Drosophila melanogaster: one gene and its partners. The protein of the gene in region 1 interacts with the protein of each later gene in a pairwise test. Each region holds a gene or a part of one and is shown in the gene's direction. Other genes may lie near its edges. The genes, in order: unk, CG4766, SmydA-8 and CG5011.

Region 1 (8,041 bases):
CCGGGCGAGAAATTCACATGTTTATTTGTTCTAGTTGAATGAACGTGTAACAACTTGCAGTTAGTATGCTATTGGCCCGAGCGCAGCTAGTTGACTGAGTAAACAAACAGAGTTGGCAGCAAGTAAACAAATGGCCCAGAGCAACAGGTAATTTCCGTACAGCATCCTCCAGGCGCATGTGCGGAAATTGCGTTAGAATGGGCCGATAAATAGCTATCTGAAATTCAAATAGCAAGCTTTAACTAGGTGCATTTTCTTATAACTAAAATAATCTAGTTGGATGCACTTTAAAACGAACAAACCAAACAAATAATATCTTTTCAAATTTAAAGTTAAAATTTAAAAAACCGTTAGAGCGCTGCCATATTGTCAAAAAGGATAAACGAATGGCAGCCTTGCACCATCGGTAGCGCCATCTAGCGTGCATCGGTAGATACCGCCACCGAATATTTAAATATTATATATAAATATATTTGTAGCTTAATAAATATTATTTTAGCATCTAGAATCCTTAGTATTTATATCAGAATCAGTTCATCCGAGAAATACCTATCACCGCATGTTCCATCTATCAATTTCTGCTTTCACTTAAAAGTTGCCTGGCGTGTGAATTCCTACTAATAGATAGCTCGAAAATAATAATAAGTCAAAATGTCGATGATATTCAACACGGAGTATGGCTACCTGGAGGCCCTAACGCGCGGATTCAAGAACGGCATGCTAAAGCACTCGGACTATCTAAATCTGACCCAGTGTGAATCCCTCGAGGACGTAATGATCAGCATCCAGGGCACGGATTACGGTCTCATCTTTGGTGGCGAACAATCAGCGCCGTCCGTTGAGGTGATCGAAAGATGCCTTAGGGATCGTCTGCTGCAGCAATACTACTACATACGCAGTCATTCGACGGAGCCGCTGACCACCTTTATGGAGTTCATACGATATCCGTTCATGATCGATAATGTGGCGCTTCTGGTCGCTGGCCTAAACAATCACCGATCCATGAAGCGTCTGCTAAGAATGTGTCATCCGCTGGGCGAATTCGATCAACTGGGCGCCATCGAAGTGGCCTCGAATTCTGCGGAGCTCTTCGACGCCGTTCTAATTGACACGCCCATCGCTCGGTTTGTGCCACGCGATTTGCCCATGGAGTCGTTGCGTTACCTCGACGTGGAGATTGTGCGTGCCCATCTGTATCGTGCTTATTTGGAGAAATTCTACGCCTATTGCAGCCAACTGGGCGGCAATACCGCCAACGTGATGACCAATCTATTGTCCTTCGAGGCGGATCGTCGGACCATTACAATAGCTGTGAACGCTATTGGCAGTGATATCATGTAAGATATCTGTGTTGCTATGAAATTCTTCATATTATACTCATAATGCCCACCTTCCAACACTCAGACCGAAGGAGCGTCTAAAGATGTTCCCCACCTGTGGCTACCTGCCCAAAATAGCCTTGGCCTCCATGTCCACTTTAAATGATACGGATAAAATAAGGGATGTTTGCAATGTGTTCGATGGCTATGGCAAAATGTTTGACAATTTGGAGCGCGACTCGGACGGCATGATTACGCTGGAGGACCGCTTTCTCATGATGGAGGCCAAGAAGAATGTGCAGACCTTCCTGCAGCAGTACCATTTCGGGATCTTCTACTCGTTCATTAAACTTAAACAGTTGGAGGTACGCAATATCGTCTGGATTAGCGAATGCATAGCGCAGCGACAGACGGACAGAATCAACGCCTTCATTCCCATACCCTTGGACTAGAAACGCTTTTGCTTTCCTTCTTCGAAATGTTTTCCCTTTGAAATGTGTGTTATAATATATAGGCGTTGTTATAAATAAAACACATGCATAACAATTTCGCATTAATTTTGGCGCCAAATTTGTTTCGTTTGCGTCCCGGCTAACCACCCATCAACTGGGGTGTGTGTATTTGCTAACCAATCGATATGGACGATGCCGACAAAAATTATCGATATCAATCGACTTAAGGCCATGGATGCCCGACGCACCGATGTTTTTTGCACATCACTAACAACGATGTTGGCAAATGAAACGAACAAGCTGCTGCTTTCCTCGCAGCAGGAAAAACCAAATCACTACACGTAAATAGATGCTAACTAATGCAAACGATGGTTAATTTGACGTGCAACCTTTCCGCCAACCGTTTCAGCTACCTGAAGGAGTTCCGCGTGGAGCAGTGCCAGTCGTTTTTACAGCACAAGTGCAACCAGCATCGCCCCTTCGTCTGTTTCAATTGGCATTTTCAAAACCAGCGTCGGCGTCGTCCAGTGCGAAAACGCGATGGCACCTTCAACTACAGTGCGGATAACTATTGCACCAAATACGACGAGACCACTGGGATTTGTCCCGAGGGCGACGAGTGAGTAGAAATGTTGTGAAATTCATAGTTTCTGATGGCCCGTGAAAACGCTGGACGGGACGATTGCAGTGGCGGAGGATGGATGAGACAGCAATAGCGAACGACGTTGTATTTTTTTTGTTTCCTCTTTGCGCTCTCCTTCCTTCGCGATGTGTGTGTATCTCTTGTCTTCGTGTTTACAAACAAAAACCATAGTGTGTTTGTGTGCAGGGGGGTGTGGTGGGGGCGGTGGCAGGGGCCTGGCGTTGTCTGGAAAGCCAAAAGTGAAATTGTAAGTGCGTATGTGGGCGTGCTGCTTGCTGTATCTCTGTGCATGTGTATGTGTGTGCAGGCGAGGTCACCACCGTGCAAAAGTGAAAGTGATTCCAGCTCTAGTGGGCTAGCAAATTCTTATCAGCATCCGTTTTGTGGTGGTTGTTGCTCTCTTGTCGCATGTATACATGCACAGACGCTCGCATACACACAGGTACGCACAAACAAACACACGCACAGACGTAGGGCATCGCTACAAGTGTGTGCGTCATTGTTTTTATTGCGTTTCGCTTTTGCGTGTTTTCTTCTTCGTTTATTTTGATTTTCCCCCGGCAGCTTCGAAATGTACAGTTATTGTGGCTGGCGAGCTTTGGAGAAAAGCTCTGTGAAGTGTAAGAACGGGCTAAAAGTAAAACGCAATTACGCTTTGCGAGAGACAACAACAATGTCTGTTTTTATGACCCAGACTCGAGGTCCAACCTCTGACCCCGACCTCCATTCTATCCATTTATCGTTGTAGTCTCCTTACAGGGTACGAAGGTGGAAAGAAAGCGGTTTTAGTTTTGAAAGAGAAATTTCTTTTACTTATTAAAGAAATACCCTCAAACATGTATTAAAATGATGATTTTGCTGTAAATGTACAACTTTGTTGTTTTTTGTTACGGTTCTTTTTAATTAATGGGTATCATACAGTCCATTCACTTAGCCTCGTCGCCTGCTTTGACGTCACTAAAACTCCCTTTCTCCCCATTTAGATGCCCCTACTTACACCGCACTGCTGGCGACACCGAAAGGCGATACCATCTGCGCTACTACAAGACATGCATGTGCGTCCACGACACCGACAGCCGAGGATACTGCGTCAAGAATGGACTACACTGCGCCTTCGCCCACGGCATGCAGGACCAGCGCCCACCGGTTTATGACATCAAAGAGCTGGAGACCCTGCAGAACGCAGAGAGCACACTGGACAGCACTAATGCTTTGAATGCCCTGGACAAGGAGCGCAATTTGATGAACGAGGATCCCAAGTGGCAGGACACCAACTACGTGCTGGCCAATTACAAGACAGAGCCCTGCAAGCGCCCACCGCGCCTGTGCCGCCAAGGATACGCTTGTCCACAGTACCACAATAGCAAGGACAAACGTCGCTCGCCCAGAAAATACAAGTACAGGTAAGATTTCCCCTGAATTCATCCTAAAGTCAGTTTTAAACCGCGATATACCATTGTTTTAGGTCCACTCCTTGCCCCAATGTCAAGCACGGCGAGGAATGGGGAGAACCGGGCAACTGCGAGGCCGGCGATAACTGCCAGTACTGCCACACACGCACCGAGCAGCAGTTCCACCCGGAGATCTACAAGTCGACCAAGTGCAACGATGTCCAGCAGGCCGGATACTGTCCGCGCAGCGTCTTCTGCGCCTTTGCCCATGTGGAACGTAAGTATAGAGGATTCGATGAGCTAATATATAGGACTCAGCGTTGTGCTCCACAACCAGTTGTTGTAGGGATGTGTTTAGGGCCAAGTTATGATATTACAGTTCTAACTTAATGTTTGTCTTTTACTCGCCTCATCCATCAAACCGCAAATCTGTTTCCAACTATCACTCAAATCCTTTGAAAACACGTACATCAATCAATGTTTGCTTTGCCGCTCGGTGTTGCTTGTCCATGTAACTACTCCCAATCCAAATAAAGCATGTTCAATTGACGAGAAGACGCGGGATCACACGGTATACCTAAACGAGCTTATTTCCAATGCCTATCCTGATTTAAAAGCTCAGGATGCGTTTCAAAGGGTCGATAATGTACGTATTACCGAAGCAATAACACTCATCCAAATAACGCCATCGATTTGCATCGCCTAAACCTAAACGTACTACCACACATCGTTTGCCGCTCTAATCCAGCTAACCATCATCAACTAACTGCTTAACACTTTCGATAAGCCATTTAATCATGTGTCCTGCTCTCCTCGATTTTTTTCTTTTCGTTTTGTTCTCTTAGTTGTTGAACATTGATGGTAATAGCACCAATAAAATGTTGGTAGACGCTTTGGAAAACACAACAAATTTCAGCAAATTTTTAAGTTTCTCACGACCCCTGGACAGTCGTTGTGAGTATCCCAGAGTCCTGACATGCGTACGTCTAAGTTATACACTAGAAATCAGTTCTTCGTTTTGGTTGTGGACAAAGAATGTCAGCGCTTAGATAGCAAATGTCGTGACCCCTAGCCTAACTGAAATTCAATAATTTTTTGTCTTCACTCTTTGCAAGCAGCTTGCTCAATGGACGATCCGCGCGAGAACTCATTGTCGGCGAGTCTGGCCAATACTAGCTTATTAACACGTTCCTCGGCGCCAATTAACATTCCTAATACGACTCTAAGTAACTCAATTAACGGTAAGTAGTCATCAACGTCCTATGAGTGCCAACTAATTGCTAATGCTAATACTCCATTCCATTTGCACAGATTTTAACTCAGGTAGCTTTGCCGTCAACATTCCCAGCAGCTCGCTCACCTACAGTCCCACCAACCATGCCAATCTCTTCAACGTGGACGCCTTCAACTATGGCGGCTCAAACAAACTCAGCAATTCCCTTTCGGCCACCCAGAACGATAGCAGTCTCTTCTTTCCGTCGCGCATCATATCGCCTGGCTTTGGCGATGGCTTGTCGATTAGTCCTTCGGTAAGGATATCCGAATTGAATACCATACGCGACGACATCAACAGCAGCTCGGTGGGAAATAGTCTGTTCGAGAACACTCTCAATACGGCCAAGAATGCGTTTAGCCTTCAATCTCTGCAGTCGCAAAACAACAGCGACTTGGGTCGCATCACCAATGAGCTGCTCACGAAGAATGCTCAAATTCACAAGTTGAACGGACGTTTCGAGGACATGGCATGCAAGCTAAAGATCGCGGAGCTCCATCGGGACAAGGCCAAGCAGGAGGCGCAGGAGTGGAAGGAGCGCTATGACCTAGCACAGATACAGCTAAATTTGCCAGCAGAGCTTCGGGACTTGTCCATACAGAAATTGAAGCAATTGCAGGTTAGTCGCTTAATTAATTTCCCAATTCCATGGGTTTTAACCTGCTACCATTTTAGTCCAAGCTGCGCACCGACTTGGAGGAGGTCGACAAAGTATTATATTTAGAAAATGCCAAGAAGTGCATGAAGTGCGAGGAGAACAATCGCACGGTTACTCTGGAGCCGTGCAACCACCTGTCTATTTGCAATACATGCGCTGAATCGGTCACCGAGTGTCCCTACTGTCAGGTGCCGGTAATAACCACCCACACCTAGAACATGTTTTATCAGCAACAGGACCACAAGTGGCCCTTTGGCTGAAAATCGGATAGGGATGGGAAAGGGGATTCCGATGGGATATGAATGGATCATGGGGATCAAGACCGCGAACAGCATGACAATGTGGTACTCACAAAGCAAACTTTAGTCTTAAGCAAAACGTTGAAACTTTTGAACAGTTAGGATTTGACACATGCCTACTAATTGTGCATGTGGCAGGGAATATATAATTTATGTTTTCAATCTACTCAAAATATGCAAATTATCGTCATGAATATTAGTAATTACTAGGCACAAACTATTAATTGAATTAGCTAGCTGCTCTAAACGAATAAGTATGTAATTTTATTTTTGTTTATTTTTTCTCATATCGAATCGAATACAGGAAAAAACATTTTAAATTGATTTTGTACTATGATTTATGTAACCAACTCTTTTAATTTTGTTTAATATTCAATGTTTAGGCATACATATTTTCTAATCTACTGCACGAATTTGCAATGTCTCATTTATTTTTTTTTTAACCACATATGTATCTCTATATTTGTATTTAAATATGCTACACTTTCAGTCATATTGTACTTTTCACTAGTATTACATAAGAAATTATGAGAACTAAACAATTACAAGATGTAATTGAATGAAAGATATATAAATATATAATATATTAATTTTTCTAGACACTTTTAGCAATTGACTATTAACAAATTTATAGAAACCAACAAATTTAACAATATATTGTCGCATAGAAGAGCAGAAAACAACCACAAACAAACAAATACCACCAGTGATTTTATATAAGCCGATTTTCAAACTGTATTTTTTATGTATGTGTTTCAAACTTGTGAATGCAAACTACAACTAAAAGCCAAGACAATGGTCATAAAATCAATGTAACTGACGGGTAATCAATATTAGTCAGTACTCAGCTTTTATTTTCCTTTTTCAAATGCACAAAAGTAATTATAGACGTTGAAACGAGAAGTAACTAAAGGCGACAACGCTTTTCCTTATCGAAAGTTCATTTCATTTTGTCTTATTGAAAACCAAGTTGAATGTATTAAAACACTTTGATTTTTGTTTAGGCCTTGGTGCAGCTCGTGTAAGCCAATGCCAATTAACCAGTCACAAAATTATCAACTTACGTATATAATCTATTAGGTTACTTTGTGATTTGAATAGTGCTTTAAGTACTTACTTTGCAGATGACTTCAATTTTCATTTTACTTTCATAGTCTCAACTGGACGCTTCCAAATTAGTAAAAGCATAAAATGAATCGTCAATGTCAAAACGTAGTATTTAAGTCATATTAAATCCAGCATTTGGCTGATTGTACAAGAACGAATATGAACAGATATATATTTATGGGAAATTTGAACGCAGATTCGATGAGTGTGATGTTGAAAGCATAAACAATAAAAGTAACTCGATACAGCGAAATGAACAGAGTTTAATGAAAATGTTAACCAGAGTTAATGTAAAACCGTCTTCAAAAACCATTGTATTTTTCTGCGAATTAAAATTATCAAACGTAATCAATTGGACAATGTTGAATGAAACTGAAACGTGTTGTTAGCTAGTTGAGTTGAATTGATAAAGATGTAATCAAAATGAAACTGTTCTGGGAATGAATTGAATATGAATATGAAATCAACATAGGCATTTATTTGAAACAAAAGCAACACTATGAATATATATATACAAATGAAAAACTGAATTATATTATTACAAAGCTAACTAGGAAAGGCAGCGCAAAGGCTCTTATCTCTGTGTGTGTTTGTACTATGTTTTGTAGAAGCCAAATCAGCAAGAAATACAAATAATTAATAAATATAACAATAAACAATTGTGTGTTAACTTATAAATGCTTTAATAGTTTATGATACAAGTGTACACAAAAAAACTAAAAATCACGAGAACAAACAATGAGAAAATTGGTTTTATAATGGAGCTGTTGAGTCGCAAATCTATTGTGTGTATTACCAAACTAAACTGAAAACTGAATGCATACCTCTCTCAGAATATCACTGACTCTCATCACCGGAGACACAGTTTGAAAGATTTGCTAATTTACTTTATGAATCTC
Region 2 (5,592 bases), on another chromosome or scaffold:
GGTCTGAAAACCGAAAAACTGGAAAAAAAAATAAAAAAACTGTGTAGTTCTCCTTGTTGTGGCCTTTTTTTTAGTTTCCTCTGTTTGTTGAAATTTATGCAGATATGCGCGCATCTAGATAGGAGTTCCAGTGCCACCTCCATCTATCTGGTTACGTGGAAATCCAGCGCGCCAAAAATCAGCCAAATGCCATGGAGTGGTGAGGAGCACCTGGCATCGTCGTTCTCTCTAAAATGGTATCCCATCCAATCGTATCCCATTCATTGGGGCTCCATTAAAATTCGGCTGACAGCAACGATTCACGGCCCCAACAAATTGGAATGGGCTGAATACTATTTAGATATGGCTAGATCTGCTCAAACTGCCACTGATTGATGTCAATAAAGCCGAACAAAAGACCTAACAGCCAACAAAAGATACAGTGGGCCTTCGTTAAGTGGCCAAAATTAGTTTAAAGGGCCATCTAATTGATCATATTCGATATATAGTTTTTTTTAAGTATTTCGCTGTATATATTTCCTAACTTATACGTTTTTTAAAACTTTTAGTTCACTGCATCTCTTTCCATATATGTATGTATCTTAAACATTTTGTATCCATACCTTGCAGATACGTCTTTAGATACTTCCGTCACCATGGGATGCTTGACCCCTTTTTTCCGCTTCCTTCTGCGAAAATTCTGCTGGTCGTCGGCAATTGTGTTCGGTTTGTGTTTTGCCTCCACTCGAATTAGTGGCTGCGTTTGGGATTTGTCTAATTGGAGGAGGCGACGGGCGCTTTGATCTTGCCACATGTCCATCAAGTACACTACATATATGTATGTATACACGATGTACATATTATTATATGGTATATAAGACGTACGGAGAGGGGGAAAGGCGGTAACCGAGAACGGAGGAAGTTGCTCGCTTGGAACTGAGAGCGCTGTCAGAAATTGCCAACTGGCACATTAATCCACGCGACATATTTATGAGTGTAAATGTATCTGTGTATCCGCGAGATGCGAGATATAAAGATATCGGCCGGCAAACGTGGGACATGGACGAGGGTTGCTCGTTGCTCGCTGCTCTTTGCTAAATGAGTGCACATTTCAGATAAATTATTGCACACAACTTGTACGCGATGGCAGGCCGAAATGTATTTAACAAATTAAATTTACACACAGATACACACACCGCGGCTCGCAAGACTTCAAAGAGGGCGCCGCAGCGTAACGGCCGCCAAATGGGGCGTGGCCTCGACGGGCCAATGGCAACGCGCCGCTCTCACAGATACACAAGCAGGCAACCCCATAGATACACCCATACGCATGCAGGCCAGAGAGACAGACAGAGAGCGTATTTGTTTTTAGTACACGCAGAAAAATGAAGTTCTGTTTGTGTTTTTTATTTTAATGTTAACTAGTAATTTTAGTCAGAACCTTAAGTAGGGAATTATATTAAATCAAATAACCGAACTATTTCTTCTTTGAAAAATATAACATTTGTGATAAGAAGAAGTGGCTCTTTGCTACAACAACTAAGAAAGAGTTACTATTAGAATTGTATCTATAACGTTTAAAGTGCCTAGATTTTTGTCAAAGTGCATCTGGCAGATACGACAGATACGCGGGGCCTGTGGCGAGTATCTCATCGATTTTTTAAGCGTCGGAATGCGTGGCACGAGACAGAGACCCCTGTCACGTGACAGCACCGACATGTATCTGTATCTTTGTGTGTGCAGCTGTGTGTATCTGAGCCTGTGAGTCCCATTCATGCCACTGCCACCGAGATGGCGGATTTGTTAGATACTGGCATGGATATTGAGATACTTCGCTGCAGCCGGGCCAAACTGCACTTTCAGCGCTTTTTTTTTTATCTGCCCGAAGCTGTAAATATCCGCGAGATTTACAACGCCAGCCAGCCGCGACTTCGGTATCGGTATCAGTATCGTTTGGCTGACTTCGATTCGTACTCGGAATCGGCATCGGCATCGGCAGCGGCATCAGGCTGGGGGTATCGCTATTGAGCGCAGCGCATCATTCGGTCAGCAATTCGCCAATGCAGATACTGTATCTGCGGGCAGCAGCTACTAAAATTGAAGAGCCAAAAGCTAAAATACCCATATACATACTCGGTACACCGCGGTCATCGTCGTCGTCGTGCTCCACTTGTGCCCATTGTTGGTTCTGCTGTCACCGTAACTCACAATTGAATTGTTCCTTTGTTCTGTCCCGTCCAGAAGGAGACCCGCTGCCGAATTTCGCATAATTGGCTGGCTTTTAAGTTGGCCGCCAGACCAAGTGTCGCCGGTAAAAAGATACATCTACAGATAGATCGTTGTACTTTTGGTACTTTTGGAGCTTGGTGGAACTCGAACTGAGTACCATGCTGGTGCCGCCGGACATGATGGCCGCCCAGACGCGCATGGTCTATCAGATGAATCGATTCTGCACGGAGAGGGTTCAGGCCAGGATGTACAAGACGGCCACCGCCATCCGGGAGATCTGCAAGATCGTCCAGGACATCCTCAAAGAGGTGGAACTGCAGGAGCCGCGATTCATCTCCAGCCTCGTCGAGTGCAATGGCAGGTAAACTTTTTCAGTATCTTTTCATTAGTATCTCAGTATCTTTTCTTTAGTTTCTTAATAACCATATATTAATAACTATATTACCTAATGTTAAGCCGATGCATAAGTTAGCTAATAAAAACGAGAGCTGCTCATCCGATCAGAGATGTCTAGTGTTCCCAACCACAGAGCCATCAACAAGATATCTGGGTAATTCCAGTGCCCTGATGACTGTCATCGCGGCTACTTCTCACTCCAGTAGTTCCACACCATTGCAATCAAATCCGATCCTCTTCACTCCATTGCGATCATTACAACCAAAGTGCAGAGTCATTGTCAGTTAACTGACAAGTCATGCTCATCGAGGTCTCGCCACCAGAAACGGAGTAGCAGTCGCCCCCTATTATACTCATTTCAACACGATAAACTATCAGATTAATATATAGATTTAAAAATATATATATAGTATTGTAAGTAAGCGGTTTCATCGAAATAGTTAACATCACTTTTACAGATTCGAGGGCGTTGAAGTGATATCCCCGAATGAATTCGAGATAGTGCTGTATCTGAATCAAATGGGTGTCTTCAATTTCGTGGACGATGGCACCTTGCCGGGATGTGCTGTTCTGAAGCTGAGCGATGGAAGGAAGCGGTCCATGTCCCTGTGGGTGGAGTTCATAACGGCCAGTGGTTATTTGTCCTCCCGGAAGATCCGTGCCCGTTTCCAGACTCTGGTGGCCCAGGCGTGCGATAAAAGTGTCTACCGCGACATGGTCAAAATGGTGGGCGACACCAGCGAGGTGAAGTTGCGCATTCGGGAGCGATTCGTGGTCCAGATTACGCCGGCATTTAAGTGCTCAGGCATCTGGCCAAGATCGGCGGCCCACTGGCCGGTACCACATCTCCCGTGGCCACATCCCAACATCGTGGCGGAGGTCAAGACCGAGGGCTTCGATCTTCTGTCCAAGGAGAGCGTCATCATGCAGAACAAGAACAACAATGCCGCCAGCATGGAGGGCGATGCCTGGGTGCTCAGCTTCTTCGAGGCCGAAAACCGTCTGCTGCAAGGTAAACATCTTATGGATACACCTTTACACTTACAGAAAAGATCACACAATTTACTAGCAACTTTTAGTATAGTTTGGGAATTTGAAATCTGGTGTATTTAAATCTCATATTGAATTCCTTTCAGGTGGCTGTCGTCGACGTTGTCTGAGCATGCTGAAGACCCTGAGGGACAGGCATCTGGATTTACCAGGCAATCCCATCAGTGCGTATCACCTGAAGAACCTGCTGCTCTACGAGTGCGAGAAGCATCCGCGGGACTTTGAGTGGGACGAGGGCTGCATCGCTGACCGCATCAATGGGATATTCCTGCAGCTGATATCCTGTCTGCAGTATCGCCGTTGTCCCCACTACTTCCTTCCCGCACTGGACATGTTCAAGGGTAAATCCCCCAGTGCTTTGGAGCAGGCGGCCAAGCAGGTGTGGCGCTTGACCCGCGAGCTCCTCACAAATGCCAACGCCTTTGAGAAGTTGTAAGGTGTCAGAGGTTAAAGGTCACGACTGGTCGATAATGGCGATGACATTTTTGGCAGGAATTTATAATTATTAACCGCACTCATAGAGTGAATATTGTTCTTATTTTTTTACCCGTTAGATTAGATTCTTTTGCTCCATTCACATATTGTTGATTTGACTAACTTCTTCTTGCAGTCACGCAAATATCGACCCATCCGAAGTCGGGGGAGTGCTGATGTGTATGAGGTGCCAGGCAAGTCGGAGATGAAAGGTACATATGCGAATAAATACATACGCATAAGCACAGCTCCTTGGCGGCCATTTTGTGCCATGTCTGTGTATATGTGACTGTCTGCGTGCGTGCGCGTGTGTGTGTGTGTGTGTGCGAAAGTGTTAATGCGAAGATGCGAGATAAGTCCACTCCCCATTCGACTCGACTCGACTCGACTCAACTCGACTCGATGCGATTCGAGATATATATCTGCCCATCCAAGCGATCCGGCTAAGCCTCGAATATTGTTTTTAATAACTCGCCCCTCGACGCTCACGACACATCCTTTGTTTGGCCGGCGAACAATGGACTCGCCGGTTCGCAAGTCCGGATGGAAAAATCGAAAAATCGAGAGAATGAAAAAAGAGCATTTGTCCAGGCGGCTCCTTTTACACGGTGGCTATACACACTCGACGTATACGATTGTTTCACAGTTCGCAGATCCTAGATCAAAGCAAAACGAACATACAAAAAATATATAATATATACATATAGCGCTAGAACAGAGGGAGATACAGATTCCATTGATCGTTCCAAGTCCAACTTAACATTGTTTTACTACTTACATATACATATACACATATTTATGTATGTCGATGTCTATTATGCGATGCCTAACATTTACCACGATTATCCGCAGTTTGTTTTAAGTACAACATAATCCTAGATTGCTAATGTAAAAAATGCTTGAATAAATTCAAGGATAGCCAAAGGCAACACTCCAGGTATTGTTTTCCTATCAATAGGGATTGTATTTTAAATCACTTGATTGCTTAGCAAATACTTACACAACACTTGCTGAAAGAACATGGAGAGTTAAAAAATGGATGTTCTTAACTGATATTCATATATTTAAATGAGGCTGACAAACGGAAGATGTACCACAAAAAAAGGACAAATCTGGAAAGGATGTGCTGGGATCTCATTAGTTCGATCGGCGGTTGAGTTAATGTTATGATTATTGGCAGTGGCGAATATTTATTTGCAAACGACGACATATCTGGATCTGGATGTGGATCGGAATCGTCTTGGGATCTGAGGCTGGGAAGATGCAGCTGCTGCAGCGACAACTGAGCATCACTTTTATTACCCTTATTTATGGTTATTTTCTGGCGGGGGCTGGATCCACGAAAACCGAGTGGTTTGCCTGCTTTGTTCTGCGGTTCTTTTGTCCCTTCGCTTTACTTTATTATTTTTCGTTTTTTTTTTTCTTTCTTTCTTTTTTTTTGGATTTTTTGCGGAACGAAAACTT
Region 3 (5,680 bases), on another chromosome or scaffold:
TATTGGTTTTTTAGTTGTAACTTCGCAAAATGAAGACGCACAGATACGAAACATACTGTTTTTTGCAGCTGACAACCTCACCTAACGACCCATTTCATTTTTTAGATAATTTGGTAAAAATAATTTTTTGCGAAATTTTCACTTTTTTATAAGGGGTTACATCACGTTTTTTTTCGAAAAATGGTGAAATTTTAATATTTTTAGCTGGGAATGCCACTGGATAGGAAATTAAGCTACGAATTCAACAAGGTATGGCATTCCACATTTGATCGACTATTACAAAAGTTGTGGTTGTGCTAATGTAATAATATTTATCATGATAGCTTTAAAGGACTCATGGTCGATAATGCCCGAACGCACCCTATAATTTTTCAGTTGGTATTCACGCTTTTTGATATTTGGCATTCGAGTGCGTTCTATTCGCTTCATGCCGCTCAGTCTAGCTTCCGTTCGATTGGGCCAATAAAATGCGCGTAAAAGTGAAAATAGATTTGGAATGTGGGCGAACTATAAGTTGCTGGCGGTCCGTAGCAGGAGCAGGGAGAACGGAGGTCGTACGCTTTAGAACTGATTTACGTATTACCGCAGAGAATGGGCGTGGCAGGACGAACCTACTCCACTTTGGAACATGTGACAGTGCGTGACATTCGCGTCGGAAAGTGAACAGCTGGGAGTGGAGCCACCCCATTTTTGGTCATGGTCCTGGTACTGGTCCTTCTCCCCACCAGGTCACGTGTTGCGACGCTCACCTCGTTTTGCGGCCTGGTGTCTCCGACCCCTTGGCCCCTGGAACACGCAACTCATTGGCCAGCGAAGCCCTAATTTATGTCCCGGCCACACGCACTGCCATATGTAGTTAGACCCGCAGAAAGTGGGTTGCACTGCCAGCCAGGATTGTAGTACTCATTTCTTATTCTACGTTGTATGCATTTAGGCAACACTCTCCAGGGCTTACAGTCCTATCCATGAGCGGCCTATTACGTCGTGCACTCATTTTTGGCCAGTGTAGCAGCGTGGGAGACAAACACGCTTGGTATCAATGGCGCTGCATCTCCACAAATAATTTTGCCAACCGTTCAGATTGTCGTAGGGCGACAGAAATCGGATGAAGATGGTGATAGCGATGGGATGGGGGTGGAGGTGGGGATGAGATGGGGTGGGTGGTGCTCCTATGGCTTCGTTTCAGTTTATGGCGTCCATAACCAACCGCAAGCAGACTTCGGTGAAGGGGGCTGGGGGTTTCAGCCACAGTGAGGTGTTTGGCGAACAAATTGACAGTGGGAAATGTTCTTTGATGGCTGAATGGCTGATGGCTGATGGCTGCATCAGTGCCTTTCACTATGCCCCTCGCGATCGTCAACCCCCGATGGACGCCCACTAGCGAATCCAATTGAACGCAACAATAGCAACCACAGCAGCGGCAGCAACAACCACACGGCAACAACAGCTCAAGCACAAATTGAATAAGAGTCAAAAGCAAAATCCGCTTTGCGTCGTCCCAGCCAAATGTCTCTATTTCCCAGTGGCGCACCAAGTGGCTCCACGTTCCCGACTCCGAAAACGTTTCGAAACCGCTTATCGCGGAATCAAAACTTTTGGCTTCTCACAAAAAGTGTTGAACTTTTGTGTCAAGCTGCCTAAAAATAGCCCGAATTTTGGCCAAAACAATGAACACAATGCTCAAGTTCTTTCCTTCGGGGAAAATGTTATTTTGGATTTCGTAAATGGGAACTTGGCGGCGAGTGTGTGTGCTTTCAGTGTGCGTGTGCCTTGGAAAAAATCATATTTGACTGTTGTCGCTGTTGTCCCCTTGCCCCCCCATTTCCCGTTCCTCACCTCCCGGCCCCTTTCGTCAATCGCCTTCCCCCGTTCCCTGGTGGATGCCTCTAATTTGTGTTTTTTTAGTTGTGTCTAATGCTCTCCGAGGGCGTCGGTGTGTCCACGTCATAAGCGTCGCTGCTTTGCTGGGTTGCTTCCACTGTCGGCAGTCAGTTGTTGCTGTTGTTGCTGATGTGCTGGGTGGTGTTGCTGCTGCTGCTGCCGCTGCTCATGTTGCTGCTGTCGTCGCTGTCGCCACTATATCGTTGCTATTCCCGCGTAGTCCGCCCAGCTGCGCGGAGACATCTTCACTCGCCGAGTTGCCGCGCGTCGCGTTGGTTCGCCGCAGTTCCGACCGACCTCCCACCGCAGTCGCCATGTCTACTGCTGCCCAGTGCCCGCCTCCTCGCCCAGGCGGTGGTGGAGGAGACACCACACTGGCCGCCCTGAGCGCTCACATGGCCCCTTGTCGCGACACCACGCCCGAGCAGCTGGCGCAGCTGATAGACGTCCACTTGGGGGATCTGCGCCAAGAGCAGCCCAACTGGACCATCAGCTCCTCCACGGTGGCAGGTCGTGGGGTGTTTGCCACCCGAGACATAGCCGCCGGCGAGCTGATCTTCCAGGAGCGAGCCCTAGTCACCGGTCCGACGGCGAGAAAGGGCCAACTGAGCAGCTGCATCTGCTGTCATGAGACCCTGCCGCAAACGGGATTCCTTTGCCGGCATCGCTGCACCCTGCCCGTATGCGAAACCTGTTCGGATTCCGAGGAGCACCAGGCGGAGTGCGAGCACTTCCGTCGCTGGCAGCCCAAAGACGTGGATGCGGAGCAGGAGCAGGTGAATCCTATGTCGCTGAGGATCCTCACCGCAGTGAGGGTCTTCCACTTGGGCAAGGAACAGCGGCATCTGGTGGACGCCATGCAAGCGAATGCGGAGCGCGCTTACCGGCGGGAGATCATCCAGGCGGCCCAATGCTTCCGGAACTTCCCCACCACGGATCGGGTGTTCATGGACCAGCTGTTCCGGATCGTGGGCGTGCTCAATACAAATGCCTTCGAGGCTCCTTGCCGCTCTGGCGGCCACGAGACGCTACTGCGGGGTCTGTTCCCGCTCACGGCGATCATGAACCACGAGTGCACCCCGAACGCTAGTCACTACTTCGAAAACGGTCGACTGGCGGTGGTTCGGGCTGCGCGCGATATTCCCAAGGGCGGTGAGATTACCACGACCTACACCAAGATCCTCTGGGGCAACCTCACCCGGAATATCTTCCTCAAGATGACCAAGCACTTTGCCTGCGACTGCGTGAGGTGTCACGACAATACTGTGAGTACGGTACCAATAGGAATCCTGGTCTCCTTGGGTAATCCCTCCTCCCACCATCTGCAAGCTTAGCTTCTGACTATGGTCATTTCTAGGCTGATGGAGTTTCTTCATGGTTAATAGCAATCTTCGCCAAACTTTCCACCAATCCTCTTTTTCTGAACCTACCTGATAGCTATCATTCTCCCTATCCGCCATCTGCATCGCGACCATCGCAATATATTTGTCCCAAAACAAAAAACAATAATTGCAATTTGAAAAGCTCTGAATTTCGGGCACATTTCTTGGCCAACGCCGATGTCACCGGCGTTGTGAAAGTGCGCGTGTGGTAGGGATGTGAGTGGCATGGGCATATATGTATGTACGTACGCGATCCACATATCCGGCCGGCCACATCTATTTATGTGGCCGCTCTCTGCCGCTCTGGGATGAGTTGAATAATGGCCTCTGGCGTTGGCAGTGGCCGCCGCTGGCCAGGCCCCCTGACACAAATGCGTTCCCTAATTAAATTAGTTATATGATTTGCATCAACCAGGGCCCAGGGGCGCGCCCAAGGGGGGGTGTCCATCAAGTGGGCAAAGGGGCAACATTTGGTAACAGGCACACGCACTTTTCCCTGCTAAAATGACTGCCTGATGGGCATAGTAACAAAATTACTTGTTGGGAGTTGGGTGAGCTTGAGACATCTTTGTCACAGCCCTGCAGTCGTTGGACAGTTCCATTCTTGCTATTAAATATACACCTTAAACGCACTCTTGTTCAAGACCTCCGAGGCATACATTATCAGTCCATTGATCCTATTTGCCTATATGCCTTTAATGTGGGCATCCAAAGTTCCCGGGCTACTAACACACACCCCCAAAATTTACATGAGCATGACACACAGAATGTTAATTTTGATTTCGATTCTGATTTCGATTTCGATTTCCATTTCGATTCGGAGTGGAACCAACTGTACGCCGTGAATGGACAGAGGCGGACGTGAACCCGCCGGATCTTTGACTGCAGATTCCACCCCCGATTTCCTGATTCCCCCCAAGTCCTTCGATTCACTGACCATTGTCTTCTTGCAGGAAAACGGCACCTACTTGTCGGCGCTTTTCTGCCGGGAACAGGGCTGCCGTGGCCTGGTGATTCCCGTCCAGACTCGGACACTGCAGCCGGACTGGCGGTGCATCACTTGCGAGAACGTGTTCCCGCACGCAAAGATGGCCAAGTACCAGGACTTCGCGCTGAACACCATCAATAACCGTATCAACTCGTGCAGTGTCCAGGACATGATCCACTTCATCAACGAGCTGTGTCCGCGCTTCTGTCCCTCCTCGAACTACGTGCTGATCGAGGCCAAGCTGAATGTGATCTGGAGGATGACGCGGTTCGACCACGAGGAGTACACTCCGGAGGAGATGGGCCACATGGATCGCTACCGCGAGGAAGTGTTGGCCATCCTCCACAAGCTGGGAGCCGGAGAGTGTACCCTAAAGAAGCTGATCACCGGGGAGATTCAGTGATTCATATTTAGCTTCAAAACTTCATTTTTTTTTTTTTAGGTGTGAATGAGTGAGTGCTTTTGTGAATGCGTACTTTTCGGGGTGGCGTGAATCGCATCCGAGCCCTTTGTTGCTATTTTATTCGTAGTCACTTAAGAATCCAATAAACACCGAATCCTTTCGAACTATATCTGCAATCCGTTCTGTATGTGGACCCCTTTCGAGGAACGCCTCTGTGCCCTGACAATAAATATGAATAGCCAACTAGCCACGAAGATCACCGGTCTGCGATTGACCAACAAGTTGAAAATTGCCACGATGTAGATTCTCTGGGCTCTCATTCGTTTTTTTGGGATCGTCTTGGCAAGCACTGTAGTATGTGAAAGGAATGCTGTGTTGACGAGGAGCAAGTCGACTGGGCAGTATGTATATGGCATGTGATTTATATGGTACATGGATTATCTATTGCATTTCTGGGGCTATTGGCCAAAACTGATTGCAGTAATCTTAACGCGTATGAATTTCTAGAGCCTGTATCTTTCGTATTTGATTTCGTAAAAAATAGATTGTTTCAAGCACAACGCTACTTACCCGCACATTTCATATTCCCATTGTCAGGGGCATGTGTGGTTTTTCAGCCAATCGATTTCAAAATGGACTTTTGTGGTTTTCTGTTGTTGTACAAAAGCTTTCTTTAATGGCGCATACACAGACGGACACACACGCACAGGCATACAGTCATAATAGAATAACAATAATTTGGTATGGGTACATGTACGTGTAGGCATACATTTGCATGCACTTGCAATGGGGGCCTTTAATGGGGTCTGGGGTCAGGGGTCAGGGGTCTGGGGTCTGGGGTCAGAGGTCATGGCTCGGGGGACAGAAGCCGGCGGTTCGGTGACAGTCGCCCGTACACAATTATTCGGATATGCCATAGCTGCGGCATACACGCATACCTCGGTACATGGCTGGCCTAGGTCTAGGACTTAATCTAACCAAGTGTCGTGTGCATCAGTACGTATCTAGATTTATAGTTACAGTAGA
Region 4 (3,072 bases), on another chromosome or scaffold:
CCTGATCCTGTTCCTGCTCCTGGTCGTACATCCTCTTCCGCCTGGCTGACCGATACAGTCGCCGGATGAGAGCTCCATATGGTTTCCGCGCCATCAGGTGAGTGGTTGTCTTGTGTATTTCGTAGACGCAATTCGTTTCGAGACACACAAAAGGCTCCTCCACCTGCAGGATAGTTTCCGATCTGAGATTGGGTACTGGCATTGGTAGCAGACTCCTCTGTTTCAAGATATTGATCTTGCTCTTCTTGACCACCCTCCTTTTCTTGGCAGGATTGGGTGCTGTAATGGCACCTTGGATCTCCGCCTCGAAGGATTCCTGGCGCCTGGAGGCCTTGCTCTTCAAGGCCGAAACCGTTTTGTATCGGTTCTGGATATCGGTAATGTTTCTCAAGGTCTGCTTAAAAGCAACCTCGACTTGCTCGACTTCCTGCAGCGTATTCCACAGATTCTTTTCCATAATTTGTTCACGAGAAAATTTTATACAATAAAAAATTTGAATACAAGAATGCACACTCCTCCCACTTCAAAAGATCATACGAATATACAAATCCTGTTCGATTGAAAAATCAGGGAAGCTAGATGTGTGATTTTCTCGTTGCGTTGTCATAGGGAAATTCCGATATGACCACCAAGTACTCACCTTATCGCAAAACAGGCTGATAAAATGTTTTAATGGGAAAACCAATGCCTCCAGCAGTCTTTCGTCACTATATATAGCGTGGAAATCGGGGTAATACTTTAGTTCAGAACGGAAATCGCTTTGGAAACATGCCACCACCACCGCACCAGCCCCACCAACCGCACCCACCGAAGGGTCCTGCGCATCCTGGGGATCACCAACCAGGACCGCATCCCCCTCACCACGGAGATCCGAAGCCCCATCACGGACATCACTAGGCCCATGGACAAGGACTATAAATAAGATTCAATTTTATACAGAACAAAACAAGATGGATACTTTTTAGGGAACTTAGTTTCTAATAGAAAGTCTTAAAAACTCTTCAAACCAAAGAAATAAAAGCCTGTACAAAATACATAGCTCTACTCTTTTCTATATCTTCAATGTTTATGATCTTGAATTGGTGATACTGCTTAATGCATTCTAAGCTTCCATTAATTTGAACAAAGCATACATATGATTTGAAGATCTAAATGCTTTTTAAATTATAATACACGTCCTAAGTGCAACGTACTAAGCTTAAGAATTTGTTGCTGATTGTTGCTGATTGTTGCTTACAAAAATAAAATATTATAACATCTCCATATTGTTGTACTTATGAACTACATGCAAAGTCGTCATTAACTTATTCTTTAAGTCACATATAGACATATCAGTAAACAATTCGCTTGTTTGTTATTACTAATTTCGAATGTCATACATTTGTTTTTATTGAGCGAAGTGTTGTTGTGGGAAAACCCGAAACTTACTTATCAACCGAACTGGGCTCGTCTTATCTGAAATTTAGATAAGATTACAACGTATTCGAATCATTTTCCTATAAATGGTTTGACAGGATAGGCTTTAGCTTAGTACTCAACTAAAGTCAGAAAAGTCAAGATGCCACCTCCACCGCACCACGACCACCACCATCATCATGGGCCACCACACCATGGACCTCCCCACCATGGGCCACCGCACCATGGTCCTCCACACCACGGGCCACCGCATCACGGGCCACCACACCACGGACCGCCGCACCATGGACCTCCGCACCACGACCACCATCATCATGGACCACCACACCACGGTCCTCCAATGCATCCTCGATGAGAACTATAATACAATATAAGCCGAATTTAACGTTATAAACTGATATGGAAAAACTTAATCGTTAACTGTGATTAAGCCACAAACTAACATTAAAATATCTTCACTAACTTCTAGTTAGTTTCACCAAGAGCAAAATGTTTTTATTTTAGAAATTGTTTAATTTTATAACACCATTATAAAGATACTGATTCTAATAAGCAATTAGAAGAATATTGAAGCAAGAATTGATTAAGTATGATTAAGTATCAAAAAGCCAGCAGATAAGGTAGACAATTATATATAAAAGAAAGTCCCTCTCCACTAGAATGCAGATAAGATTACAGCCTACTGAAACTATGTTACTTTTGTATAAAAGGTCTGGCAGGAGTGAGCCAGTTTAGTGTACAACAGAAGCCCGCCAAGCAAAGATGCCTCCTCCACCACCGCACCACCACCACAACCCGCCGCCTCATGGGCCACCGCCCCACGGACCACCGCACCATGGACCTCCGCACCATGAACCACAGCCCCCGTTCCACACGCCAGTGCATCCGATTTACCACGAACCTCCTCACGGAAACAGCTCCGGCTACAATCCTCCGCCGCCGCATGGTCCGTATCCATATGGTCCAGGATACGTGGCCCCAGGACCTCCAATGCATCCGCGATAAGAACTGAACTGTAATCTAGATCGGTTAATATAGTGTGATATCAACAAATGTACATTTGTGTGTGATTAAAAAATATGCTGCTTTTAAATATATAAACTAACTTTAGTTAGTCACGCCTATGTGTGATTCAAGTTTTATTACTTGTAGCTTCTATGCCAACAAACAATCCCATTTCGAGTATGATGATATATGCGCCTAATAAGATAAGGACGGTTTTTTGGAATTCCCATAGGACCGTCATAAAGATAATCCATTGAAAAAGTCGTCATTCTTTAGGTGCGTTATGATAGCTTATTTTCGGGTACTATCAAATTCTTGAGGTAACACGTCATTACTAATATTTCACTAGGAAAACAATCAATCAATCAGTCAATCAATCACTGGATTCTTTATTAATACGTGGGCTTATCGTATTAGTCGAATGTCATGAATTCTTAACTGAGCATATCTTTGATTTATTGGCTCTTTTCCATTCCATTTGTTCAAGAATAATATTTTTGTTTTTATTTTGAACGCTGAACTATTAGTAATCATGCATATAAACCTGTTGTAAACCTTATCAATGAGTTACTTCAACTCAACGCTAGATAAAGCTGTGCAATCTTATCGATAGGAAATACGCATTTGCTTACATTAGTCAGAACCTAACTT

The links.
Region 2: the proteins of unk (region 1) and CG4766 interact in a two-hybrid assay, tested with the Drosophila melanogaster proteins (one large-scale study listed by BioGRID).
Region 3: the proteins of unk (region 1) and SmydA-8 interact in a two-hybrid assay, tested with the Drosophila melanogaster proteins (one large-scale study listed by BioGRID).
Region 4: the proteins of unk (region 1) and CG5011 interact in a two-hybrid assay, tested with the Drosophila melanogaster proteins (one large-scale study listed by BioGRID).

What each region holds. Positions count from the first base shown.
Region 1 is NT_033777.3:23,151,850-23,159,890, reverse strand, and holds unk (unkempt), read left to right. Parts: upstream 1-2,028; 5' UTR 2,029-2,047; coding exon 2,048-2,112; intron 2,113-2,180; coding exon 2,181-2,390; intron 2,391-3,397; coding exon 3,398-3,817; intron 3,818-3,879; coding exon 3,880-4,082; intron 4,083-4,341; coding exon 4,342-4,451; intron 4,452-4,650; coding exon 4,651-4,759; intron 4,760-4,920; coding exon 4,921-5,046; intron 5,047-5,116; coding exon 5,117-5,697; intron 5,698-5,753; coding exon 5,754-5,951; 3' UTR 5,952-7,799; downstream 7,800-8,041. Other genes in the region: VhaAC39-2 (vacuolar H[+] ATPase AC39 subunit 2), read left to right, coding at 652-1,337, 1,405-1,771. UniProt on the Drosophila melanogaster protein: Essential for late larval/early pupal development.
Region 2 is NC_004354.4:5,996,971-6,002,562, reverse strand, and holds CG4766 (uncharacterized protein), read left to right. Parts: upstream 1-1,765; 5' UTR 1,766-2,366; coding exon 2,367-2,569; intron 2,570-3,062; coding exon 3,063-3,616; intron 3,617-3,740; coding exon 3,741-4,090; 3' UTR 4,091-5,055; downstream 5,056-5,592.
Region 3 is NC_004354.4:2,205,000-2,210,679, reverse strand, and holds SmydA-8 (SET and MYND domain containing, arthropod-specific, member 8), read left to right. Parts: upstream 1-2,001; 5' UTR 2,002-2,195; coding exon 2,196-3,146; intron 3,147-4,216; coding exon 4,217-4,654; 3' UTR 4,655-5,165; downstream 5,166-5,680.
Region 4 is NT_033779.5:1,198,682-1,201,753, forward strand, and holds CG5011 (uncharacterized protein), read left to right. Parts: upstream 1-1,989; 5' UTR 1,990-2,178; coding exon 2,179-2,421; 3' UTR 2,422-2,539; downstream 2,540-3,072. Other genes in the region: CG5139 (uncharacterized protein), read right to left, coding at 1-457; CG43348 (uncharacterized protein), read left to right, coding at 769-897; CG43349 (uncharacterized protein), read left to right, coding at 1,559-1,771.